Mus musculus: one gene and its partners. The protein of the gene in region 3 interacts with the protein of the main gene of each other region in a biochemical or structural test. Links are inferred from orthologs where the notes say so. Each region holds a gene or a part of one and is shown on either strand. Other genes may lie near its edges.

Region 1 (4,300 bases), on a different chromosome or scaffold from region 3:
AGGAGGATTTCTGAGTTGGAGGCCAGCCTGGTCTACAGAGTGAGTTCCAGGACAGCCAGGGCTACACAGAGAAACCCTGTCTCGGAAAACCAAAAACCAAACCAAACCAAACCAAAAAAAAAAAAAAACAACTCAACCCTTTTATTTTCCACCAATCGTAAACATATTTTCTTTAAGCTGAAACAAAAGGTTTAGAGAAATTATCCTTTATATTAGAAAAACAGCTTTAGGTCATTCACTCAAGGTCATTCAAATACTGGTTTTAAAAAGTGGCACAATTGAAGCACACATCTTTGATCCCAGCACTCTGGAAGCAGAGGCAGGAAGATTTCTGAGTTGGAGGTTAGCCTGGTCTGCAAATGGAGCCCCAAGACAGCCAAGGACTGTTACATATAGAAACCTTGTCTTGAGCAAAAAGCAAAAAGACAAAATAAAACAACAACAAAATGCTCACAACTGTAAGTCAAAAGGCTACTTTTAAAATGTAAAACAGGAGCACTTCCATAACCATCTTCAAAACTACAAATATGCAGGGTGGCACACTCCTTTAATCCCTGCACTCCAGAAACAAAAACAGCCTGATCTCTGAGTTCAAAGCCAGCCAGATGGTCTACAGAGCAAGTTCCAGGACTGCCAGGGCTACACAGAGAAACCTTATCTCTAAAAAACAAAAAGAAGAGAGAGAGAGAGAGAACATAAAACCTTCACACTGGGGAACCAAGGGCACAAGCACTTGTGAACAGGCTGTGCGGACCCTGGCATCGTACTTAACTTGTGGGGCTTACTATTACTATTACTAGCAATTTACTAACGTGTGGGGCTTAAGTGTGGAGGAGAAATTGGAGAAGAATGAAGAAAACAGATTTCAAAGCCAGCCCACTCTGCGCCAGCTTTAACAAGGCTTAGATGTCGGGGCAGGCCACTCTAACCTAAAAGCGTAAAAAACCACATTCTACCATAACTTATTAATGATGCCAATTTGTTACCAAATAAGTCTGTCTCAGTACTAAAGATTCAACGGTCTCCACTTGGGACGGTCTGTTTAGCCAACAACCTCCACACATCAGAGTGGCTTACAGAACAATCTTCACGTGCTGTTGTTACACTGGGATCCCCTTGCATTTAATCTGATACAGAAAATCTGCCCACAGACCTGACTCCTTAGTGGAATCTGTCCAGCCAATTCATAGACTAGACGTGCAATACAAATGTTACAATTGATCGCTCGACTGACACAGATTACACTAGCTACAAATATCTGCCCCCCAAAAAAGCTGACGAGCACACCGAGGCCCAAGTAAAAAGAACCCTGTCAAAGAATCTGGAAACCAAGGCAACCCCCCAAAAAAGGTTTTGTCAGTCAAGAACACCAAACAACAGCCTGAGGGTGCCTACTTTCCTAAGTGAAGCTCAAAATAGATTTCAATTTCCAGCTGATGGGTCTCACCCGCTGTCTTTTGAACCTAGAAGCTGAAAGCAGAATAAACCGCCTGCTCTCTTTACCCGAGGAACAGGATCTATTTTGCACATGCTTATTTAAGATGCCTGGCGAGTATGGTTAATCCTCACAACCCCCGCACTGACATTTAATCGGAAGATTTGTTTTCTTTAGAGGACTTAGCTGCTTGCAAAGACATCTTTGCATTTTCAATTCACTGTTTCATACATGGCGGGGGGTGGGGGGGAGAACCCTACTTTCATAATACTTTTTTTTTTTTTAATGAACCACCAGAACCCCTCAAGTGGACCGGATCACAGAAAACAGAAACCATCTCAGCTCACGGTCAAAGGATAAAAGACAAAAGAAAGAGGCCATTTGGAGAGGGTCAGGCAGCTATAGGAATGGGTTCTGTGTCCCCCTAGTTAGTCGCCTAACCTCATGGCTTGTCACTCCTTGGTCTATTCAAAGAGCAAGTCTCCTTCCCTGTCGAGCCGCTAGCAGCCCTGCCGGTGATGCCCTAGACAAGGCAGCCCCTTTGCGTACAGTCACCCTCCACCAGAACAGGTCTTTCTCTTCTCAACACTTGTCACCAGATGCAATGATCAGTATTTGAATGTCTGTGTGACTATAGCCTCTCGGGGGGGGGGGGATAGGTTAGGTCTACGGTGGCGTTCAATACACACCAGCTCCAAAGCCTAGCACCGAAGAGACCCTCCAGCTCACGTCTAACAAATGAATGGACAGGAAGGAGTAAGGGGGCTGTCATCCCCGGGCCTCCACCACCGCACACCGAGGCCCGAGGAAGTGAAATGTGAGGGGGCGGGGGTGTCGGCGAGCCCACCCTCCTCCCCAGGAGACAAAGGAAGAGGGCCTGAGGTGGTCCAGTCCAGACAAGGAAGCGGCAGGGGTGTGGACCAGTGGGGACAAAGGGTGGCTGGGCCATGTTGGGGTCGGGTTTGCGGGGGGAGCTCGAAGATGACAGGGACCGCGGAGAGATAGAGGCGAGTGGGGGTGTCGCAGGGGCCGCGAACCCCAAGAGGGGTCTAGGGCGACGAGGATGCGCGACAGGAGTCCCCCGAGCCGGGAGGGTCGGGGAGACGGCGCGGCCTAGGGGCCCCCGGCTCCGCACCTGGTAAATAGCCGCCCAGTTCCCAGCCTTGTCGATCTCCTCGAACTCCTTCTCCATCTCCATGGCGGGACGGGTCGGCTGCCCGAGTTCCCACGGCCGTCCGCCGCGCTAGGCCGCGTCGCTCCGCGTCCCGAAGCCCGTCACCCGCCACCACCGCAGCCCCAAGCTCCCCAGCAGCGGCTTCTGCATGTCAAGCCGGCAGCCGGAAGTACGCACCCCCGCCTCACCGCGAGCTCCGCCCTCTGTACGGGAGGACCAGTCAGCTAGCGAAAAGGCGGCCGGCACTTCCGCGGGGGCGGAGCGGTAGGCGGGGCATCGCGGACGAGGCCCGAACCCGAGGAGCAGACTTGCTGCGCGCGCCGCGTGCGGCTTCCCGGGTTCCGCGCTCCGGAGGGCGCGCGCCCGTTGCCCAAGCGACCCCCGGCGGCGCGCCCACGGCGCGTGGGCCGAGGCGGGACTCGGGGAGTATCCTGAGTTCGAGCCTCAAGCCCGCCGGTTGAGTCAGGCGGCGAGGGCGTGGCCTCGAGCTGGGCGGTTGAGTGGGAGCGGCGTTTCCTGTCCCGGTCTGTTTTTCTTTTTTCTTTTTTTCCTTTTTGTCTTGGTTTTTCCAGACAGGGTTTCTGTGCGTAGCCCTGGACGTCCTCACATTCACTCTGTAGACCAAGACTGGCCTCGAACTCATAAATCCGGCTGCCTTTTTCCCGAGTTCTGGGATTAAAGGTGTGTGCCATCACTTCGGGCTCCGTTCTTTATTTTTAACTCAGGGTCACGATATTCCAGGCTGGCCTCTCACTTGCTGTCAGGCCAAGGATAACCTCTTATTTGCTGTCAGGCGAAGGATGATCCTCTCGCCTCCATCTCCCACGTCTTGGAATCACAGACATGCATTGCGGGGGATAAACCAGAGCTCCGTGCATGCTAGGACCTACTCCGGCCACATCCCAGCGAGCAGAGTGTTCGTTTTAGACAACGAATCACTCTATAGCCCGAGCTGGCCTGGAGTTCACTACGTAACCCAGGCCAGCCTCCAGCTCTGGATCTGCCTGCCTCAGTCTCCGGAGTTTTGGACAGGTGCTAACACCCAGCTGGCCACTCTGCTCTCATGAAACTTGGGAAAGTCCATAAGAGTTTTTACCCTGGCAGAATGAACGGATGGGACATGTGGTGCTAGTTTTCTGTCTTTCTCCAGTATCAAGAAAATCCTGACCAGATGTGGTGGCACTTGCCTTTAAACTCTCCAGGTAGAAGCAAGGGGTCTCTGAGTTCCAGGCCAGCCTGGTCTACATCGTTCCGGGACAGCCAGTTATACAGTGAGACCCCTTCTCAAAACAAAAAAACAACCAAAAGGGAAAAAATCTTCCTTGGGGTTTGTTGGTGACTCATAACCATCCTAACTCTAGTTTCAGGCCGTCTTCTGACCTTCAAGGGCACAGGGTATACATGTGATACCATACTACTGTACATACATGCATACAAAACCATCATACAAATAAATCTAAAAACATGTTTAAAAGAAAAAAAAAATCTTCCTCTCTGATGTCATCTGGGTGCAGATTCTGTGGTTTGTTCAGACTGCCCAGGGTGAGCACTGAATGTTGGTTCCGATGCTTGGGTTCCTTGAAGTATGTGTGAAGGATGGGATTGCCTTCCCTGGGGAAATGTAACTGGAACATGGAGTTGTAAACTTCCATTCTGGGATAGAAAGGGAGACATAGGTAGGAGCCGTGTCC
Region 2 (4,300 bases), on a different chromosome or scaffold from region 3:
CTGAGACTTCTGGGACAACATCTCTAAAATAAAGCACATACTCTGATGGACCTTTCTCTGAATTTAATGAATTGTTCCTTTCTACCCATGTTCCACCGTAAAGATTCTACCAACCTATAACTACTATGGAATGTACTGAAAAATTCACCATCTACACTGACATAAAGACTTCAAAGCTAATCTATAAACCATTTCTATAGCCCATAAATCATTTTATCAGCAGAGAAATTTTCCTTTGTTCGTTTTTTTAAGGCAAATCAACTTTCTTCATTATTATTTAAAGGCTAGTAATAAAATAAATCTAAACTTCTTGAGCATATGACTTCAAAGGATAAAGGACAACCTAAAGCAAATGAATTTTGGTGTGATTTGGAAAATCTGACTAAAACCTTTACATAGCCAACACAAAAATAATCACATGTATCCATGCAAAAGAATATCAGTACCAAAAAGAACACTTCTAGCTACACATGTCAACAAGTGGCTTTTTCTATCCCTATTTAGACTTCTTAAACATTTCTCATTTCTACCGAAACATAAGGCAATATTTTCAACCAATTCTTCAGAGAGTTAAGGAAATATATGTGGCAAGTACAAAACAGCAAATGTCAACTACAGGAAAAAATCACATATTCAGGCAAAACTGAATTGTTAAATTCTAAACTAATTTTCTACCAAAATTCTATACAACTAGCTCACCTCATAATGAATGAGATTATCAATAGGATTTTAATGTAAACATAAACCTTATGCTACAATCTCAACATTTAGAGCTGCACCTGGAATGTCTATTCTACGATGCTCCTGCAAATCAGAAACAACAGAAATTTGACACTGCATTTCTTTGTCTCCATTCATATGAAACCGTAAATTAGCAGATGTACTTTAGGTCTTCATTAGATGAAACAGTGCAACAAGAGTCTGTTCTTTTGGTTTTTTTTTGTTTTTTTTTTTAAGAAATATATTCAAAACCCATCAAAATTAGAATATAGGATGCAATTTTCCTAAGTTTTCCTAATGCAATTTTCATTCTCTAGTACACCTCTCCAAAGAGAAAAGGCAGGATTCTTTTCGTTTAAGACCAGAATCCAATCCGTTTCCAACTTGAGAATACAAGAACAGGAAATTAAATATAACCTAAATATTTCCACATTCTTCTAAGTAAAATTGACTTTTATTCCTGAATATGAATTCACTGCTAATATTCATTAATAAAAAGTAATTGAAAATACATTTTTAAATCGCCAAAAATATAAACTACATTCAACTGTGACAGCATTAGTATTTTTCAAATGTTTTATGTGCCATTAAAAACCCATAGAATTAAACTGATAACGACTTTCCTGAAACTGAAAAGGCGTTGTAGCGTTGTTGTACGGTATTTTAAATATCAAAGACAAATTTTTACTTCAGATGAATTTAGATTCTACAGATCCTGTTAATAAGCAAAGTAAGTTTCTTTGAATTGTGACAAGAATACACTCGAATTTCTTAGGCAACAAATGCCTTTTCTGACTCACCAAAGCTATTGTTCACGGGAAACGTGACCCACTAAAAAGAAACTGTCAATTCTACAGCGTAAACCCACATTTCTCGTGGGTATTTTATTTCGATCATCTAGTCTTTAACAACCTACCCCTGGAGATTTGGGGAATAATCACTGAGTAAATGACAGTTGATTTCGTTAGCACCTGTCACCATTCTCAAAAGCACACAAGTTGGCCAAAACAGATTTTGTTTTTCTTTCAGGTTTTGGTCCTTTAGAAAGTAGAACTCACAAGACATTCACCAAGTTTTCCGAAAGCCCGTGCTTTCTCAATTTCTCCCATTTTCAAAAAGTAGCCCTGAAGCATACGATCTGGTGCGTGCAAGGGGGGCTGTATAATGAAGTGAGAGAAGGAAACACAGCTGGACTCTTCCATCGAACTTAGCACAAAGCCAGTCGAGGACACTAGCAGCCCGAGGCAGTGGGAGACTCCCGGCTCTCGGGGAAATGTCAGCCGCAGGGCTAAGGGAGTTCCCACATTGTGCACGCAGTCCCGCCTTAGCAAGGCCCGGCGTTAGCCGGTCGCCCCCAGCAGGGCCAGGCAAGGACGAGCCCTGCCCACTCGCGCTCGCGTCGCGCCTCCCCACGCCCCCACCCGCGCGGCGGGAGCCCCGAGTGTCGCGTCCTCCCCTCCCCTTCCGAGACACAGTCTGTCCTTTGTCTGAGTGCAGACTCTCGACTCGGTCCCACCAACTTGTGTGTAAGTCCCGTCCTACCCGGGCGCTCCCGCCTCCCAGCCACACAAAGAAGACTTGAGGCTCAGCGCTGCCGGCCCCGATCGGCCACAGGAACGCCCCCAGCCCCGGCCAGGCGGGACCAGGCTCCGGGACAGAAGCCCCCACTCCCGGCCCCCGCCCGCCCGCGTCTGCCGGAATCCACAGTTCACTCGTGGGACCGCGGGGACCGCCACACACCTCACGACCGCTCAGAAAGCTGTCCCCTAGCCCTCCCTCCGCGCCTACAAAAGCGGCGCTCGAGTGAGACCCGCTTGGGCGATGCCGAAGACTGGCCAGGCACCCGCGCGGAGGTCCCGCGATCGCCGCCGCCGCCGCCGCCGCCCCGGGGCGCGTTCCAGATCCCTGACTGCCGACCACCGGCGGCCGACGGCGCGGACTACCTTCGTCCCGCGCGCCAGCCCGCGCCTCTCCCGCGCGTCGCCCCCAACCCGCCGCCACCGCCACCGCCGCCGCCGGGACTCCACTGCCTTCGATGTCCCACTGGGTGTCGGACGCGACCGGACCGAGCGCCAAACGCAGCAACCCAATCGCCATCGCTTTTATTTGGCCCCCCCAGCACTATCAAGCGCCTCTCCGATTGGAGGATGCGAGAGGGCGCCCGTCCAATCAGAGGGCCGAACGGGCTGGGAGCCTTCGGAGCGAGCTCCAGCCCTGGGAGCGCGAGGCTCACCAGCGCGTGCGCGAGTGACAGGGCTCGCTCTGAGGAACGCGGCTTGCTGGGTGGAAGCACCACAGTCGCTGTCTTTGTTCTTTTGCCAACGTGCGGTACCTCTCAGGAAAGCCATGGACAGGCAGGCGGAGGCCGGGCACTTGGCGGGACCCGAAGCCCGCTATGGGCAGGAGGCGGGGAGGTCGGGATGGCGGGAACCGGCCGGGGGGCGGGCCAGCTCTTGGCGGGAATGGGCGCTGAGTGGTTCTCGGGAGGGGGAGGGGAGGAGACGGGCGGGCGCCTGAGCCAAGTTTGAAATAGTTCAAAACTCGGGTTGGTAACGGTCTTAACCGCCCTCTTCTCCGGCGTGCCATACTGGGCCCGGGGTCCAACACTTTTGTTGGCGCCACTGAAAGGAAGGCGTGTGACCGGCCCCACAGGGGATTCAATGCGGGGCGGCCCTCGCTCCTCACGGAGAGCACCAGTAGGCAGATAAAGTTAGTGCGGTTCCTTTCGGCACCTTGGAGGCTTTGGCTAGCAAAACTGGTGCCTAATCCCCTGACGACGGAAGAAAAGGCGACCAGATTTCTCTGAAAGGCCTTCCAAGCTGCGTTTATGGTTCTTAGCACTTATCAAGGTTTCAAGTTGTTTATTAACAACTTTTGAGAGCAAATAGCTCACCCCATGTTTTCTCAGCAAAGTGTAAGGAGTTTGCAACATTTGTCAATGGCATCTTGGGAGTCAACCTTTCTCCCCGAGGAATAGAAATGAGCTGCTTATACAGTACGCAGCCCAACCCCCACTCCCTGTTCAGTTATCTGGCAATGAGGTGAATAATGGTATTTCAAATTTACTTTTAATAAGATGCATCTGAATGGCAAAATCCCACAGACCTGTGAAAACAGGTTCAATAGTGAAGAGTTCAGACTGAGAATTTGTAACACTCTGGAAGTTATGTATCTGTATTGGTCGTGGTTCTCTAGAGGAACAGGTTGAATGAATGAATGAATAAATGAATGTATTCATTCCTTCACTGATAGAATGGATAGAGAACTGAGAATGAATATGTATATAGATTTTCAGAATATATAGAAAGAAGGAATATATACATAATCCTTCACTGGCATTAGAGCACACATCTTCTGGCTTCCTTCAGCCAAAGACACCCAGGCTTGTAGACTCAAGAACTAGCGGATTCTTGGGTTTTCCGTTGGTAAACAGTAATTGTTGGACTAGCTGGACCTACAGCCTGTAAGCCACTCTAATAAACTAGTGTGTGTGTATGTAAGCGGAAAATTCAAGAATCCACTAGTTCAGTTCATAAGCTGGGATGCCTTCAGCTGAACTTCATTATACACCTGAAATTCG
Region 3 (3,500 bases):
TGTTAGCTTTCTGTGCAGAAGTTTCCTCAGCACTCGTGTCAACTGTTTCTATCCTGAATAAAGCTGTGCTTTTCCATTTCTGTCACTTTACACGTGCATTTCCTCTTTTGAGACAACAGGAAAATATGTAAAACAGCTTAAACTGGGAATGTGTAAAAGTTTGTTCGTAACCTACTTCTCTAGTGTGTGCATGCCCACACATGTGCACTCTTCAATGTAGGTACCCGAGTGACAGGCAGATATTTCTCATTAAACCTGAAGTTCACCATTTTGATCAAAATGGATGGCCCTGGGACACAACAGAGCCATCCCACCCGCAGCCCCTGCCTCTGTCCTTCAGCCTCTGGGCTTATAGATGTCCACACCACCTCACCACCTCCATGTGGAGCCACACCACCACCTCACCACCTCCATGTGGAGCCTGGGAACCAGAGCTCAGCTCCTCGTGCTTGTGCCATAAGCACTTTCCCTCTGAAATGTCCCCAAGCCTTCCAATCCTAAAGCCAAAGGAATCTTTCCCTATCCATAACTTAAGAAAAGTTAGGAGATAGGAGAGAGCAGAAAAATATTGACATTATTCTAAAACATTTGATCTTATACATTATGGCTTTAACAAAACAACAAAAAAATCATTAAGAATACTCTGCTGGAGAGTTTTATGTCAACTTGACAGAAGCTAGAGTTATTGGAGAGGAAGCTTCAACTGAGAAAATGCCTCCTTAAGTACAGGTTGTAAGCAAGCTTGTAAGGCATTTTCTTAATTAGTAATCGCTGGGAGAGGGCCCAGCTCATCATGGGTGGTGCCATCCCTGGACTGGTGGCCCTGGGCTCTCCACAGCCTCTGAATCAGCTCCTGCCCCCAAGTTCCTGGCCAGGAGCTCCTGTCCTGACTTCCTGGGGTGATGAGCAGTTACATGCAAGTGTAAGCCAAACGGCCACTTTCCTCCTCAAGTTGCTTGCTGAGGCCATAGCCTTCATCTCAGCAATAGCCATACAGTGTGAGCACTGGCAGTGGTGGGCACCACTAGCAAGTCACCGTGTGTTAGTAATAATGACTTTTGAAACCACTGAAATACAGAAAGATGAGTGAATATGTACAGGTTATGCAAAAATGAGTAAACACAATAGTATGTTAAATGTCAAATAGAATAACTGTAATAAAACCCTTCCCATAATACACTGAGACTATTTAAAAGTTACATACAGTCAAGTCTTGGTAACAATGTAATAAAATAGTAATTGATTTTTAGAGGACCTATCAACCATGATCTTAAATATAAACACAGATTTTATCACAGTTCCAAGAAGCCACCTCTAAAATGACATAAAGTGGTGGGTGTGGTGGCACATGCTTATAATGCCCACACTTGGGAGATGGCGGCTTGAGGATGAGAGTTCAAGGCCAGCCTGGGCTGCAGAATGAACCTCCACCACCACTCATGACGACTCACTGCAGCCATCACTAAAGTAGGAAGTAATCTAAGTGGAAATGGTTTACTAGCTGTACAAAGTATTAAACCACTACGAAACAGAGACATGAGAGGCTAACTAACGTGTGCAGTGCACATACAGAAGGATCCCACTGGGTTTAGATGCATACAAAGTCAACGTGAACATCTCAAGGCATGCACAGAGTTCAGTGGAAAAATAAAGCCGGTTTAAGGTGAAGACCCCTTTACCATAGACATTTACAACCTATACCCATTTGCTGAGAATAACACTTGCCCAATTATACACAATGCCCTGGATCCAATACCCGGTACCACACACAAAGAACAATAAATACAATTATAATTTAACTGAAATACAATGTTTACATTAACCAAAGCCTACTTGTCAGAGTAAGACCACTTAGCATCAGCACCGGGCTCAGGCTGCTGTCGCTGATCTGCACATAACCACTGTAGCCTGGCCTGCCCCCAGCAATGTGATACATAAGCCACAGGGTAGCACTTAGGTGCTCAGACGCTACTTCTCACTTCTAGAACCTTCTGGAAATGAGACAGGCAGATGATGATCTCATCCGGTGGAAGGAAGGAAAATAAAATGCTGTCTCTTCCCTTACAGGTTTTCTAAGATGCAGCCACAAAACGCAAGGATGGAGCCCACGTTCAGAGAGCGTATTAGTAAAAGCACGCAACTCTTTACCTTAACGAGTGAAGAATCCATGAACTGCCCAGGAGGGATGGAGTCCAGGTACTTCTTGAGGTCCATGGACAGGAACTCAAAGATGAGATACAGCCTGGAGTCCTGCATGAGCACATCCTGCAGGCTGAGCAGAGCAAGCGTGAGTCCAGCCAGCAGCCTGCCTCCACTTCCAACAGCATAACTGCTAACAGTGACCTTCACTCTCAAGTAGAACTTGAGGACGGAAGTTCAGGACAGTAGTCCACAGCCTCCTCTGCAGGAGGAGCTAGCTCACACCGCCTGCACTCCTAAAGCTGGCTGCTCGAGAAGATTAAAGCTGCTCCCTAGTGCCAGCCCCAGTGCAACAACAGTTAGAACCCAGGGGCAGAGGCAGGTCACGCCAGCTACCAGAGGTGCTAAGTAAGGCAAGGATCTCTAGATGCAAAGGATGGAGTGAGCACAAGGTCACCCTGGGTAATTCTGTGAGTGCTGGAGACTGGGTGCGGTGGTTTAAACCCATAATCCCGGCACTTGGGAGCTAGAGGACAGCAGTAAATTCCAGGCCAACCTGGGTGAGCTAGAGTAATATCCTGTCTTAATAATTTCAAAACCCCATATTAGGAGGCCAGAGGCTACAGCTCAGTGGTAGAGCACTTTCTTAGCTCTACCCAAAGGCCTGGGTTCAGTCCCTCCTACCAACAGAAATTCTAATGAACCACCAGACAACGTCCTCAATGACCCAGCCCAAGCAAGTCAATAAAGCATAGCTTATCTACCTCAGCCTGGCCCCTGGTCTCAGGAGCCTCTGGGGACCTGGGCCCTAAAAGTAGGAGCTAAGCAAGCTCCCCATGGAAGGGGTCCCAGGGCTGTGCCTTGCTCCTCTAGCCAATTCTAGCACCCTGTCTCAAATTCTCCAAACACCATCAGCAAAGCAGGACTCCATCCCACTTGAACCAGAAAGTACATAAAAATTTCTACTTTAAAACAGATGTGCAGCAGCACAGGGAGAGTGGCTTCAGTTCTAACACAGCACACCTGACTATATTTGGATGTCGAAGTTCTTTTAATAGAGAGATTTCCCGAATTGCAGTACTGGGCACTCCTTCTTCCTCGCTTTCAAGTCTGATCTTCTTCATGGCCACTATCTGGCCAGTGACTCTGTGTCTACCCTTATACACCACACCGTAAGTACCTGAAAGAAAGCAAAGAGATTTTCTTCTAAGTTGAACTCTTTGAGTATCACACGAGAGAAATGCCAGCTGCAGTCAGATAGGCCCCTCACATCATTAAACCCTCACTGCTTTCAAAAAGGCATTGAAGATAACTACGATCTAACATATACATGGTTTGGAAATAAAGCCCACTGAGTCATC
Region 4 (2,371 bases), on a different chromosome or scaffold from region 3:
TAAAAGTATGTTGGGTTGGATGTTTAGAGGAGTGCTTGACAAGGGCAAGGCCCTGGGTTGTCTTGCGTGTAAATGTACACACAAGCCAGTCTCTTAACACTATAAGCTTTTCTGTGGTTCAGACTAGTTTAGAAAGCTAGGAGTTGCATATTTTATCCACGTCAGCTGAACCTTTAAAATTGTACCTCATTTCCAGTGTCACGTGTATTAACATGTGATATGCTTAGATGTATTATTTATATTGGTAATAACAAAACTTTCCTAGCATGGACGAAAGCACATCTTTAGTTCCATCACGATAGGTACTGGAGTTCTAAGTCTAGCACTAGGGTGGCAAGGGAGGCAGCTAAGTTTCAGGCCACCCTGGACTATAAGGTGAGAGCCTGTTTCAAAGAGCCAGCAACAACGAGGAAGTGCACTCTGCTCTTAGCAAGTTATATCTATTTATCCACATTCTGTAATGAGCAGTGAGGAGTATAAAGTAGAAAACAGGCACCGTGAAGATTTAGACAATTAAGGTAAGCACGGAATGACTTTTAATACACCAGACAATGTTAATAAGACACAAGTCAAACAGACAAGTGCAAATGTGTTTCAGACCAAAGTTAATAGGAAAACAAGTGAGACATTTCCCTCCTTTTGGAGGGCAGCATCTACTAGCCAAATATTGTTAGTCAAATGGCTATTCACAGGTAAAATGTATTTTGTGGAAAACTTGGAATAGTCAGAAGTCATTCTGGTATTTTTAAACAGCTATGTACAGTATTACCAAGATCAGTTTATATACACAAATATTGAAGAGAAACTGGGCAAAACATTTAAAAATAGGCTAACCATACAACCAAGTACAAGACTTGACAGGAGGAAGGAAACATGTTTTAAAGACAGGGGACATTATAAGAAAAATTTACAAAACCAGTAATAATTATACTACATTAATACAGCATTCAAACAGGGAGGGGTAGGTGCACTTTTTCAATGCAGTAGCTTCAAAGTCCAAAGAAAAAGATGCGAAGCTGCTTTTCATGAAGAGCAGCTATATATTTCACATAATTGTTCTGAAAGAAAGCCTATTAACAACAATGATTGTTTAATGCTAGTTTTACAGCAAGAGGAAACTAAAATAGCAGCAAATTCACAAGGCAAGGCCTCCACAGAATGACCATCCCATGGCGCACACGATGCCTAAAGTGCTCCCAGTTGGATATACAAGTGTAATTCACATAGAAAAAAGAAACGCAAGACTGACACAGGTACATTGGAGGCAGAGGAGTACTGAGTCTCTGAGCATTTCCCTTTTTGAAGGGAGAGGATGTTCGCAGTAAAGCCCTTGAGTCCTTTCTAGAGGTCACAACCAGGAAAGACACCTTTCACCACACTGCAACAGTGAATGAGAAGCAGCACACCACCACAGTGGCGCACCCCGCAAAGGGGGCTGGAACATCCAACAGTGACCCACATCCTACATGAAACAGACGGGAGATGAGACAAAAGCCTGACAGAGCCAAGTCAGAATACAGCTCTCAACTGTAATTCTCAAAGTCACAGAAGGCGTTACGTTTTAGGAAAACTACTGATACCAATGGGCAAGTAATCACGAAGTGGGCTCTAGCAGTGATTCCAACCTAGCTTCCTCTTGTCACAGTTTTTTCCTTTGAGTGGGGAAGGGCTGGGGAATGTGAGCAGTTCAGTATATAGTAAGGCTGACAGAGCGGTTCATTTTCTTTCCAATAAGTCGAGAAGTTCTATTACTCTGGGTGGTGGATCTAGTGGCCATCCGATCTGTGAAGAGTGCCCGTTCCTCAGCTGCAACTTTGGCTGCCATTTGGGCTTTCTTGAGTTCTCTACAAAAATAAGAAGGAAGCAAGACTTTAATTTACCTACTGCATTAATTCTATGGAAAGAGTCTAAGAAGCCAAATACAAACTCAAACATTGTGCTGGCTAGTTTTATGTCAATTTGAAACAAACTATAGAGTCATCACAAACTAGGAGCCTCAATTGAGAAAATGCCTCTACAAGGTCAGGCTGCAGGCAAACCTGTTTCTATTTATTTATTTATTTATTTATTTTTTTGTTCCTCGAGACAGGGTTTCTCTGTGGAGCCCTGGCTGTCCTGGAACTCACTCTGTAGACCAGGCTGGCCTCGAACTCAGAAATCCACCTGCCTGCGCCTCCCAAGTGCTGGGATTAAAGGCATGGGCCACCACTGCTAGGTGCAAACCTGTTTCCCAATCAGTGATTGGAGTGGGAGGGGCCAACCCATTGTGGGCGATAACTCTTGATGCATTATAATGGTATATGACACACCTGGAGCTGGTGAAAAGATTCATCAGCGATAACACCTGCCACCAAGCCTGACAACCTGAGTT
Region 5 (3,273 bases), on a different chromosome or scaffold from region 3:
CTGTGAGAGGGTCTGACACAGCAGTGTAGCGGGAAGGAAGGGGCAACCTAAAGAAGGAATCTGAATTTTCAGCAATGAGATGTGGAGTCTTGAACCCAGGGCCTGAGAGCATACTAAGCCAACGGTGCCCCATCAGTGATGCTCGGTGATGTGAGCCACACCCTCGGCCCAGGGCAGTGAGATTGCTGGGTTTGGAATTATCTGGACAGAAGCATCAGCTTGGGACTTTTTGTTTTGTTGTTATAAATGAAGGTAGTGATGTGATCTAGCTGGAGCAGGCACACTGGATTCCAATGCCCAGGGACCCAAGAACCCACCATGCCTGCAGTGTGTCTAGAGAGTCCCCTGGCTGTTCCCCTCAATCTGTTCCTCCCAGGTGCCCCTCACCTGCTGCCCCGTACCAGCCAGGAACTCCGCCTTTGGCAGAGACACTGAGGCACCGTCTTTACTTTGAGGCAGGACTCTTGTAAATCTTTTTTTTTTTTTTTTTTTTTTTTGACTGTCCAGAAAAGGCTATTTGTTTTTTATTCAAGTAACTGCAAATAAGAAACCAGGGAGGAAGCCCCAGGCTGGGACAAATACTGGCCACCCCTCCCCCACAGAACAAGGGGAGGTGGCCCTACACCCTTTTCCCATCAAAGTGGGCCCCCATCCTCACTCTGCTGCAGCATCCACGGGGTGGGGCCCCATCTTCCTTAGTGTGGGGTAGGTAACCAGTCTGCTGCGCCCCAGCCCCCCTTCCCCTCGAGTGTATTGTGTGGGGGAGAGAATACAGGCAAATTCAGGAGGATGAACATCTGACGCTGGTAGCAGCAGCAATAGTGGGTATCTAAGAATGAACATGGAACAAAAAAAAAACAACACAACCGTCCAGAGGTAGTTTGTGAACAGAGGAGAAGATGGAACCAGAACCATGGGGGGCAGGGAGGAGCGAAAAGGAGGGGGCGGCAAGGCTAGCTCCTTAGTGCCCTGCGGGAGGAAGGAACAGCCTAGAGTGGACTGGGGGAGGCGTGTTGGTGCCCGTTTGCCTTTGGTGGAGGCGAGAACAGGCCCTTACTCTGGAGATGGGCGGTAACCCCATCTGTCTAGTCTCAGGTGAGAACATTAAAGTGGGTGGAGCCAACATCATCCTACTTCCTGTTGTCAAGGGGCTCAGCCAACCCAGTGCATGATCTCTGTAGGGTGGGGCAGGAGGGGCTGAGAAACCCACCCGGTGATACTTTGGTGGGGACATGCTGGGATCTAAGCATCCCCTGCCCTGACCACACTGCTGCTGCTAGGTCAGCCACTGGGCCTTGTCAGAGTGAGATGGGGCCGGGGCCCCTTAAGGCCAGGGAATGCTCCCAGGACCCTCTACGGGGAAGCCAGGAACAGCAGGGCAGAAGGGACCCGCAAAACAAAGCGCCCAGAGAGCCACGGCTCTGAGGGAGGTGCGCAGCAGGCCGGGCTGCGGCTAAATGGGAAGTTAGCCTTGTCAGGATGGGGCAGGTGTGTTCGGGAGGAGGGCACAGGGACTGAGCCGAATCCTGCTCCCTTGGGTGCTGCGGAGCAGAGCCTGCAGCTGGTGCCTGGTGCGGTAGTGTGCAGTGGGGGCGGGGAGGGGCCTGGGAGCAGGGCTTCCAGTCCCAGGGGACAGCTGCTCCTCAGTGGCTATGGAGCAGGCGGCACTGCGAGTGGTGATCACTGCTCCTCCTCAGAGGACTCCTGGGAGATGCCCTCCTCTTCCTCCTTCTCCAGTTTCTTGGGTCTGCCCCTTGGTTTCCTCCCTGGAGCTGTGGTGACTTTCCGGGTCTTGGCGGCGCCCTTATTCTTGCTTCCCTTTGGTCGGCCCCGAGGTCTCTTCGGAGTTGGCACTTCACTGGGCTCTTTCTGACTCCCGACCAGCGCCGTCCCAGGACTCACCGGAGGCTGCTTGCGTGGCCTGCCCCGGCCTCGCTTCTCAGTCCCATCCTTTTCCTGCTTGGAGGCCAGGGGCTGGCTGGACTTTGAGCCCGACTCGCTCATTCTCCTTCTCTATGTGTGGGGCAGCACACAGTGAGTGCCTTCTTGGAGCCGCGCCAACACCAGAAATAGCCCCGACTCGGAGTCCCAATTAGAGGCGACTCTTGTAAATCTAAGCATGGATTCTGGGGTTTCCTGCCCCAGTTGCAAACCCTGAGTACCTCTGTGCATCTCCTCTTCTCTGAGCAGAGACCTGGTTCTTTGGAGCCAGTTAGGAGTAATCAGAGAATATTGTGCACCTCAACCCGTGTCTGGCGATTGTTTGAGGTGTGCTGAGGGTCTCTTGTCTTGTGTGTCAGGGTTCATGGAACAAGTACTCACGATCCAGTGAGTCATAGCAGGTCACACGACATCTGGGCCGGGCAGGAGGCTCAGATGCCTCATGGACAGCCCTGGGGAGGAGGTGTGCTCAGACTGCCGCCTTTCCCTTGCTCAGTCCAGGCTCTGCACTGAGACCGTGTGAGTCGCTGAAAGGAGGCAGCTGTACTTCCAGTGCTCTATAGTGCAGGGACAGCAGTACCCTTCCCCTGAGCATTCCTCCGCACTGGTCAGAAGGGTGCTCTGGGACCTTCCTGTGGCTCAGGGGACAGCATACACAGTGGGGGCCCGGAGCCCAATCATTTGCTGCTGCCTGGCAGTTTCCTCATAGCTAACAGGGACAGATCATGCCTGCTCACTGTGTCCTTGATCCCAGTCTGAGCAAACCACCAAGTCCTATAGCCAACCTCCAGGTGGCACTGAATACTGGTGTCTGGCCTGATCTATCCAGTAAGATCAAAGCCCTTCCCCTTCTATGACAAAAGCTGTGGATTGTGACCAACCTGCTGTCTGGTGGCCATCGGAACTCCTGGGAAATGGTGGCCTTTCAGGGATGCCAGTTGGCCACCAGGCAGGAGGAAGTGGTTTACCAGGAAGGGAGCATCAAGCTCCAACGTCTTGGGAAGACAGTCATCTGCTAGCTTCGCCCTTAGGAGCGCATTTCTCCTAAGATGTCTTCACCCTCCACAGCTCCTGCTCTATCTCCTGTCACCTATGTTGTCTGAAGACTTCTCTATCCAGAGTCATGTGCTGAGCCCTAACTACAACATTATGTGAGGACTGTTGTATAACAGTTTCCTTTGAAATTAAAACACCCCATCCTGCATGGAAGTTCCTTAAGTAGGGATGCAAACAACTCATATAGTTTCAGGAAGTTCCTGAAACTGACCAATTTCACAAGATCCCTTGCTGTCAGGGTAAGCAACAAAAGCTGAGAGTCTCTCTCAGACAAAC
Region 6 (4,215 bases), on a different chromosome or scaffold from region 3:
CCACATTGACGGCAAAGACCAAGGTCATCTGTGCTTTCTTAGATCCTCCCTGTTACTCTCCAACCACCACAGAAAGAAAGCTTAAGTTGACAACAAAAGCAGAAAGCAAAATGCACAGAGATATGCCTAAGAAAACTGCAAATTCTGTCAATCTTCTCTCCAACTGTTAAGAAACTGTGGTGAATTCTCTTTTTGAGACTCCTAAAAACATACCGTGGATCTGAAACCCCTCCTGGCAGAACTGGTGGGTGCTGTTCGACATCACTGCACAAATTCAGACTCTAATCTAGACTGAGGCTGGGGCTTAGCAAGGAGCTGAACTTGATTACAGAGCATCGGGGACAGACCTAGCCTTCTCTTCTGTGGAGAAGAGAATTTATACACAATGAAAAATTTGTTCCTTGACCCAGTGGAAAGAAATATATTCAAGTTACACCACAGCTGTGGAGAAAAATTTCCAGCGTCAGGCTTCACTTGACTGCTGAGAACAAGTGACCAGGTCATTGGCATCAAGACGCAAAAGTTCTAAATGGAAATGAACAGCTCACCAGCCCTCTTCCCTCCCCCTTCGCCCCCTAAGTCACGTGGTGATCTGTGTAGGTGGCTAAGGAAAATCAAACCAGAGCTTGGGTTTCAGATTCAAATCCTGACCTGGATGTCAAACATCATCCCTTCTCAGGAGGACAGCTCAGGCTCAGAATCTTCACCTAGTAACAAAGGAAAATGTTTCTAGATTTCAAAACAGCAATGTGACTTTTACTCCCAGAGTTGGGGACAGCACAATTGGTGATGTCTGAGCCTGTATCTAGGGACTAAGGGCACAAGAACAAACAGAATTTAAAGTTCACATTGAAAAACAGTGAATAAGCCAAGATTTGAAAACAATTATATAATAATAAATAAAAGGTCACCAAATTCACTGTTCTTGCAGGTCACTTGAGTTACTGAAAACTAACTCTCTCTCTCCCCCTCCCCCTCCCCCTCCCCCTCCCCTCCCCCTTCCCCTCTCCAGAGGCAATGTGGAAAAGGTTACTAGGATGACCTTCTGTGGGTAACCTGGAGGGTGGGCGTGCCTGAAACCCTGTACTTGAACTCAGCAGCCCAGCGGGAGACTGTTTCAAAAGTGCCTGGAGTGGCGAAAGAGCCTGGGAGCTAGGCAGAAAGTGAACGAAGTTATTTCAAGCATTCCAAAAACAGCAGCTTATGAAACCATTTTGGTTTCACAAATGTTTCATTCTTGTGCTCACTCGTGTCCTCATGTTCCCCAACACCCATTCTGGAAAAGGAAAGGGAGGGTGCTGTTGGTCTAGTGTTTGCCTAGCGTGCAAGAAGCCCTAGGTCTGACCCCCAGCATTGCCTATAAACTGATGTGCCTAAATGTGGTGGCATTGCACTGTCACCCCAGCACCCTGAAGCCCGAGGAAAGAGGATCAGAGAGGTTCGAGGTCACCCGCAGCTACATAGATCACCTTGGGAGAGTCTCAAAATAAAATAAAATAAAAAAAAAAAAATGAAGAGCGAAGAGTGGGTAGAAAGGCGGGAAAAGGTTGGAAGGCCTGGCTGGACTCCCAGGAGTTCTGGCTGACTGCACAAACCCTCAGGCCTCATGGTACACACCTGCCGTGACAGGTAGACCCACAGCTCTTTAAGAGCCACCCACCCACCCTCGTACCTCTCTCCCCAAGAACGCCTTAATGACCCCCGCACATCTGGGCTAACGACTCAGAAAGTCAACTCTTCAGGCATCTCAGAGCCGTGCAGATCCCCGGGTCTGACTTTCCCCAGATGTCGTGCCTCAGTTTAAAGATAACCCAGGTGAATCTAGAGCTTTAGGAAGCCTGAGTCTGAGGATTACTGACTTCAACAGGGCTTCACTTACTCTCCGAGTCGCTGAAGCCGCTGCTGTCGCTGACGCTGGCGCTGCTGCGCCGCTTCATGCGCTCTAGGTGCTCCTCATAGTGGAAGTGGCGCTCGTGGAAGGGCGACGCGAAGTCGGCCAGCACCGCGTCGAACTCGCACAGCACGTCGGTCAGGTCTGCAGCGGCCGCGGAGTCCATGGCCGGGGCTAGGGGAGGGAGGGCACAGAGGGCATCTGGAGGGGCGGCCAGCGTTCCCTAGAACTCCACTCTGCCTTTGCCAGTGACAGCCACGCAGTCAGTTACTCCGTAACCTCCCAACCACCCTCTAAAGCGCCTGTCACCAGACACGGAGGAGAAGAAGCCTCCGTGGGTTGAGCTGAAAGTCTGGAAGTCACCTAGCCCACCCCACGCGCTTTCCTACTGTTGCCCACGCTCGCTCCCTGGAGCGCGTGGCGGCGGGAAGTCTGAGTCAGCAGGCACCCGTTACGTGTCAGACTCCGGTTCCTTGTCCCGCGTGGAAAACCAAACTAAACCTGCATCGGACGAGCGATCCGGAGACGGGATGCCAGGGTGATGGAGGACAGAAGGGTGGGCAGTGGAAGAAGACCTTAGCGACCTCTGTTCTCTCGCCCCTACTTGCAGGCTCCAGCTCTCAGGGGCCCCGGAGCTGAGAGTGTAGCTTAGCGTGGACGCAGTCCCTGGCTTCGATCCCGGGGCGCAGAGGTGGAGAAGACACCTCCAAATAGGCACTCACCTGCGGCCGCGACCGCCGCGGGACTGCTCTGCGCTGAGGGCGGCTTCATGGAGAAGTTGCTCAGTGACACGCGTAGCAGAGATGCTGCGAGGTGTTGGCCCTGGTGGCTGCCGCCTGCACTGCAGTCTGCTCCGGTGCCTCTGCCTTGCTCCTTGCCGAGCCTGAGCGCTAGCTACTCGCCTGAGCCGCGCCACCCGCCGGCTACTCCGTCTTATAGCCACCGGCAGGGGCGGGGCGGGGCGGGGCTGCTGAGTAAGTCCCAGACGACCTAGGGGACGCCCCTGTCCCTCCACCCCCTACTCCCGGCACCGCCCTAGCCACGCGCTGGCCTCTGAAGAACCGCAGTGACGGGTGTCGCCGGAGTCCAGGATACCGCCCCAAATATTTACCCGCCGCTTTCTCTACCACCCTGACAACCCGACCCAAGGAAGTGTCTTTGCGGGCATCAGAGTTCTCCAAGAGTTTACCCTGTTTCCCGCCTTCTGGCTGAGCCTCCTTGAGCCTCATCTATGAAATGGAACTGCACATGCAGAAAGCCTCCTTGTTTGCTGCAAAAATAAAGGAGCCAAGGGCCTCAGTAGCCTCTGCAAAGAACCAGTCCTCCATCTGACTTTTCTCAAGGAATTTATAAGGTTGTGCGTGGACAGAGTGGACAGCTGAGGGCAGTGGGTTGAGGTGAATGCAGTCTTCAATTGAGATGATCTTTGAGCGCAGAGTACCACATGGACAGATGCATTCTGGTATAGGGTCCGTATGATTGAGCGTCCATCCTTAGCACAGCCCAGTAGAATTCCTGCCTCAGGTGACCAACAGCCCTTTGCCCCAGGTAGTTATTAAACGTAAAATAAGAGGCCTGCTGGTGGCCTGCGCCTATAGTCCCAGCCCTAAGGAGGATGGTAGAAGGGGGTCTAGGCAAGAGAGTGGAGATTTGAGGACTACTGCATGAAAAGAAAAGAAAAAAAACCCTACATAGTACAATCCTGTCTGTAAAGAGTTTACTGTGCACGCATGAAGATCCAAGTTCAAGCCCCAAAATCCACATTAAAAAATCCAAACTAGATGGACACCACTTATAATCCCAGCCCTGAGAGGCAAAGGCTGGCAAATCCCTGGGACTCCCCAGCCAATCCCAAAGTGAGAACTCCAAGTCAATGAAAAGCTGTATCTTAAAAATGGAGGTGGGCAGTGCCCAGGGAATCGATCACATTTGCGGTTGACCTCTGATCTTGTCCGGCACAACATACGCCTTGTGTGCATATATGCACATGCTACACACACACATACCACACACACACCACACACACACATACACACACACACACACACACACACACACACACACACACACACCACTAAATTAATGTAAAGTAAGGGGCTAGCTGGGGCCTGGGAATATGATTTAGCAATAAAGTGCTTGCCTAGCATGGGTGAGCCCTGAGTCTGAAGGCTCATCCTCAGACCTGCAAAAGAAAATAAATAAATAAATGTAAAACAATCAAAATTGAATAAAGTGAAAGTTTTCAGTCCAGACACCAGACACTTTCTTAACTACACCAGACACTTCCTTAGCTATACTAGACACTTTCAAGTGATCAACGGCCA
Region 7 (4,192 bases), on a different chromosome or scaffold from region 3:
ATATTGTTATTTTACCATTGTGTGTATGTGTGCCATGGCCCAGGGGTCAGAGGCTATTTTAGGGAGCTGGTTCTTTTTCTAATGTAGAATATGGAGGCTGAACTCAGGTAATCAGACTTGTGCTAAAGGCCCAAGCACTTTCACCCACAGAGCACGTCACTTGCTACATACTTTTCGATTAAGCAAGTCTTACTCCTTTTTCTTTGCATATGCGTGAAGGGTATGCACAAATGAGCAGACAGATGAGCAATGCCCTTGCTGGAGGACATTGGCTGTCCAGGTCTAGCACTATTGCTTTTATTCCCTTGAGACAGAGTCTCTCACTGAACCTGGAGCCAGCAAGGCCCTAGGACCCTCCCGTCTCTGAGCTTCGTAGTTACAGGACCCAGGGGAAGCGAGCCTGGCCTTGTACATGCATACGGATCTGATACTGGGCCTCACGCTTGCGCAGACATCTTCCCACCCCTCATATTTCCTATCTCTAAACGGTTCTTCCACAAAATCTTACAGACCTGTGAAATCTCGACATCTCCAATTCTGAACACTTCATCAGTCAGAGTAGCAGAAAGCAGCTGGGATATGGTACAGGGCACAATATGCTGGGCTCGGACTCTCTGAAAAGAAAAAGTACGCACAGTCAACCCAAGAGAGTAACAATCACTCATTTAATATTTCCATGTGCCAAGCACTTGAATATACCACACTCCTGGAATTGCAAAACCAAGTTCTCCTTACTTTAAAAAGAGACAGAAAACAGGGCCAGAAAGTTAACATTTGTTTCATCTTCCTCTCCCTCCTAAGTGCTAGGATTCAGAGTGTGTGCTACTATACACGGCGAATGCCACACTTTTGAATTCAAGCCCACAGGGATCTGATGCTAGACCTCCAGGTGAATATATGTTTGTATCCTATTGTGGGTTCACAAAGAAAAGGTCAGACTAGAGTCAGGACAACATAGGATAGCCTGTCTTTAGAACGCATCCCAGGTGGGGGCTGGTGAGATGGCTCAGTGGGTAAGAGCACCCGACTGCTCTTCCGAAGGTCCGGAGTTCAAATCCCAGCAACCACATGGTGGCTCACAACCATCTGTAACAAGATCTGATGCCCTCTTCTGGAGTGTCTGAAGACAGCTGCAGTGAACTTACATATAATAAATAAATAAATCTTAAAAAAAAAAAAAAAAAAAAAAAAAAAAGAACGCATCCCAGGGCTAGGCAGTGGTGGCAAATGGTTTTAATCTCAGCACCCAGGAGGCAGAGGCAGGTGGACTTCTTGAGTTCAAGGCCAGCCTGGTCTATAGAGTGAGTTCCAGGACAGCCAAGGATACACACACACACACACACACACACACACACACACACACAGACACCCAAAACAAAACAACAACAAGAAAACAACTGTCTCAGAGAGGTAGGGGTAGAAAGAGCACATCCCAGACATAGCAAGAGCAGTGTTCAGGACACCACGGAGACAACAGGGCCTTGTGAAAAGGCTTGAGAAATGACAAGCAGAAAAAGGACTACGAAGATGCTCTAGGTTTCTTGATAAAATGGAAGAAGTTAGAAGTATAGCTTCTTTTAGGAGATATTCTGGCAACCAGATGGCAGTCTCTGCAGAAAACCTGGTGAGTTTCGTCAAGCTGCTCATCTTTGGGCATCTTAACAGGAGAGTCAGATGGAGTGGGCAGAGGAGCATCTAGCAAAGACACTTGCCTCTCAAGCCACCTACGAGCAATGTAGTTTGTTTGTTTTTTAAGAAAGGATCTTTTTGGGCTGGAGAGATGGCTCAGCGGTTAAGAGCACTGACTGCTCTTCCAGAGGTCCTGAGTTCAATTCCCAGCAACCATACGGTGGCTCACAACCATCTGTAGTGGTATCTGATGCCCTCTTCTGGTGTGTCTGAAGACAACTACAGTGTACAGGCAGGTGGATCTCTGAGTTCCAGGCCAGCCAGAGCTACAAACACCTCCAAAACACTTGGTCATACAATGAATATGTACGAGGCAGAAAAAGCCCAGCAGATTAAGGCTTAGCGTGTCCTTCCTGTCAGTTACCAACAGGAAACAACCCCAAACCTGTTCTGAACACAGTGGACTCTTGTTCTTCAGGGATTTTTGTGCCCTGGGGACAGCGATATTAAACTCTACTAAAGCATACTTTCGAGTGGTAGGGCCAGGAAAATGGAGGCCGGGCGAACCACTGCAGGCTTGCCAAACAATAAAATAATAAAAACCCTGTTCCCCACTTGACCATACAAAAGACAAGGTAGGTAACGGACAGCTTCTGACACCTTGGGGTGTGCCACCCTCCCGCACGAAAACACGTTCCCTCCTGGCCAGGACACAAATGAGAACGGAGCCGTCAGTCTACGTACCGATTTCTTCTCCGCCTGCGACGGTGTGGGCGACCCGAAGCCACCGGGGGACTGCGTGTAGCCGCCTGCTCCGCCATAGGTGGAGCTGCTGAAGCTTTCGAATCCGCCTGCGGGGAACGACCGTCGTCAGAGTCTGCGCTGCGCTCCCCATCTCTATACCTGGCGACCGCTGTCCCCACCGCCCCAGCCGCGACAATCCCCCTGCCACCCCGCGAACGCCGCCGAGCCCGCCTCGGGCCTCTCGCTCCGTCCCGGCCTTCCTGCGCCAGACTCGCCCACTCCCAACACCCTCGCGTGACTCTCCCCACGCCCGCCATTACTATTCCACATCCTGGTCGCAGTTCTCCGGAGAGAGCGGCCCAAGACGCTCGGACACGAAAACTAAGAACACTTGGGAACTCTGTGCCGCTCTGGCGTGGCAGCCTTCTGGCTACTTTGCACTGGCGCCACAAACTCCTTCCCGCGAAGGGACAGCCAATCAGCGCCCTGGACACATTTACCTTCAGCCAATCAGAACTCATGAGTCCCCTCCTTTTTTTTTCGGTATCAAGGCCAAGCTTAGGAAAAACACCCGGCCCCAAGAAGGAATGGAAGCATGCGCGGCCATCTTTACTGAGGGCAAATTTCCGATAGGACAGTATTCAAGAAAACAACCAATCAAAACGATACTTCCGGGGCCATCCTCAAGCATTCTTCACACACACCCCATCTCCGTCGCATGCAACCCTACATCACTTCCGCCGCTCGCTAGCCCCCTTTTCCCGCCAAACTGCTAGTTTTCTGCTCTTCCAGAACTCCCGAGTTCAATTCCCAGCAACCACATGGTGGATCACAACCATCTATAATGGGATCTGCTGTCCTCTTCTGGTGTGTCTGAAGATAGTGATATTGTATTCATAAATAAATACCTGCGTGATGGTGGAAGGAGAGGCTCAACTGTTAATCCCACTGAAGATGAGTAGAAATGATTAAACAATTTTTGGTCAAATTAAGCAAGCTTAATTTTGTCAGAGATGGCTATCTCGCTAAACTGGGGTTTTGAGAAAACAGCATCGCCGGGCAGTGGTGGCACAGACCTTTAATCCCAGCATTTAGGAGGCAGAGGCAGGAGGATTTCTGAGTTCGAGGCCAGCCTGGTCTACAGAGTGAGTTCCAGGACAGCCAAGGCTACACAGAGAAACCCTGTCTCGAAAAAACAAAACAAATACAAAATGAGAAAACAGCATCGAACACAAGAGGTGAGGTTTATATAACCCCCAAAACTGCAAGAATATGGACATTTTCAAGGGTTATGTAGGCACTTGGTCGAACATTTCAGCATTATTTGGCAGAACGTCTATCAGACTGAAATCAGGGTATAGGGTGTGGAACCTGTCGAAATTCAGAAAGTTGGTCAAGACCTGGTCAAATTAAGTTTTATAGAAAAGAGGAATGGACTTATTTTGGTAGTATGATAAGATGGCTTCAGAACTTAAGGTGGAGTCAGGCTGCTCCATCACAACTCCTACAAGTTGTCCTCTACACACACACACACAAGCACACACTCCAGCACACATGTTCATACGCACACACAGGCTTGTATCCAGGGCATAGATAACATGTTCATGTTTTCAAAGAAAGAAACCCTACCTGGGGGAGGGGTTGGCACACGCCTTTAACCCCAACACTTGGGAGGTGGAGGCAGGTGGATCTCTGTGAATTTGAGGCCAGCTTGGTCTACAGTGTGAGTTCTAGGACAGTCAAGGCTGCACAGGGAAACCCTGTCTTGAAGAAAAAAAAAAGAAAACAAACAAAAGAAACCTCATGGCCATACATGGCC

The links.
Region 1: of the proteins of Cdk1 (region 3) and Ptpn1, one has a biochemical effect on the other in vitro, tested with the Homo sapiens proteins (2 studies listed by BioGRID). The link is inferred for Mus musculus from reciprocal best matches to the Homo sapiens genes CDK1 and PTPN1.
Region 2: of the proteins of Cdk1 (region 3) and Ezh2, one has a biochemical effect on the other in vitro, tested with the Homo sapiens proteins (5 studies listed by BioGRID). The link is inferred for Mus musculus from reciprocal best matches to the Homo sapiens genes CDK1 and EZH2.
Region 4: of the proteins of Cdk1 (region 3) and Wee1, one has a biochemical effect on the other in vitro, tested with the Homo sapiens proteins (5 studies listed by BioGRID, with this or other methods). The link is inferred for Mus musculus from reciprocal best matches to the Homo sapiens genes CDK1 and WEE1.
Region 5: of the proteins of Cdk1 (region 3) and Hmga1b, one has a biochemical effect on the other in vitro, tested with the Homo sapiens proteins (3 studies listed by BioGRID and IntAct). The link is inferred for Mus musculus from reciprocal best matches to the Homo sapiens genes CDK1 and HMGA1.
Region 6: of the proteins of Cdk1 (region 3) and Rgcc, one has a biochemical effect on the other in vitro, tested with the Homo sapiens proteins (2 studies listed by BioGRID and IntAct). The link is inferred for Mus musculus from reciprocal best matches to the Homo sapiens genes CDK1 and RGCC.
Region 7: of the proteins of Cdk1 (region 3) and Rpa2, one has a biochemical effect on the other in vitro, tested with the Homo sapiens proteins (2 studies listed by BioGRID). The link is inferred for Mus musculus from reciprocal best matches to the Homo sapiens genes CDK1 and RPA2.

What each region holds. Positions count from the first base shown.
Region 1 is NC_000068.7:167,930,827-167,935,126, reverse strand, and holds the start of Ptpn1 (tyrosine-protein phosphatase non-receptor type 1), read right to left. Parts: upstream 2,801-4,300; 5' UTR 2,634-2,800; coding exon 2,571-2,633; intron 1-2,570. UniProt on the Homo sapiens protein: Tyrosine-protein phosphatase which acts as a regulator of endoplasmic reticulum unfolded protein response. Mediates dephosphorylation of EIF2AK3/PERK; inactivating the protein kinase activity of EIF2AK3/PERK.
Region 2 is NC_000072.6:47,592,231-47,596,530, forward strand, and holds the start of Ezh2 (histone-lysine N-methyltransferase EZH2), read right to left. Parts: upstream 2,801-4,300; 5' UTR 2,664-2,800; exon of another isoform or gene 2,461-2,663; intron 1-2,460. UniProt on the Homo sapiens protein: Polycomb group (PcG) protein. Catalytic subunit of the PRC2/EED-EZH2 complex, which methylates 'Lys-9' (H3K9me) and 'Lys-27' (H3K27me) of histone H3, leading to transcriptional repression of the affected target gene.
Region 3 is NC_000076.6:69,342,913-69,346,412, forward strand, and holds part of Cdk1 (cyclin-dependent kinase 1), read right to left. Parts: intron 3,320-3,500; coding exon 3,163-3,319; intron 2,273-3,162; coding exon 2,149-2,272; intron 1-2,148. UniProt on the Homo sapiens protein: Plays a key role in the control of the eukaryotic cell cycle by modulating the centrosome cycle as well as mitotic onset; promotes G2-M transition via association with multiple interphase cyclins.
Region 4 is NC_000073.6:110,141,429-110,143,799, reverse strand, and holds the end of Wee1 (wee1-like protein kinase), read right to left. Parts: intron 1,845-2,371; coding exon 1,688-1,844; 3' UTR 501-1,687; downstream 1-500. UniProt on the Homo sapiens protein: Acts as a negative regulator of entry into mitosis (G2 to M transition) by protecting the nucleus from cytoplasmically activated cyclin B1-complexed CDK1 before the onset of mitosis by mediating phosphorylation of CDK1 on 'Tyr-15'.
Region 5 is NC_000077.6:120,761,620-120,764,892, reverse strand, and holds Hmga1b (high mobility group protein HMG-I/HMG-Y), read right to left. Parts: upstream 2,100-3,273; 5' UTR 2,005-2,099; coding exon 1,903-2,004; coding exon of another isoform or gene 1,870-1,902; coding exon 1,681-1,869; 3' UTR 501-1,680; downstream 1-500. UniProt on the Homo sapiens protein: HMG-I/Y bind preferentially to the minor groove of A+T rich regions in double-stranded DNA. It is suggested that these proteins could function in nucleosome phasing and in the 3'-end processing of mRNA transcripts.
Region 6 is NC_000080.6:79,298,836-79,303,050, forward strand, and holds the start of Rgcc (regulator of cell cycle RGCC), read right to left. Parts: upstream 2,801-4,215; 5' UTR 2,663-2,800; coding exon 2,614-2,662; intron 2,066-2,613; coding exon 1,880-2,065; intron 1-1,879. UniProt on the Homo sapiens protein: Modulates the activity of cell cycle-specific kinases. Enhances CDK1 activity. May contribute to the regulation of the cell cycle. May inhibit growth of glioma cells by promoting arrest of mitotic progression at the G2/M transition.
Region 7 is NC_000070.6:132,766,968-132,771,159, reverse strand, and holds the start of Rpa2 (replication protein A 32 kDa subunit), read right to left. Parts: upstream 2,801-4,192; 5' UTR 2,704-2,800; coding exon 2,694-2,703; intron 2,481-2,693; coding exon 2,374-2,480; intron 615-2,373; coding exon 513-614; intron 1-512. UniProt on the Homo sapiens protein: As part of the heterotrimeric replication protein A complex (RPA/RP-A), binds and stabilizes single-stranded DNA intermediates that form during DNA replication or upon DNA stress.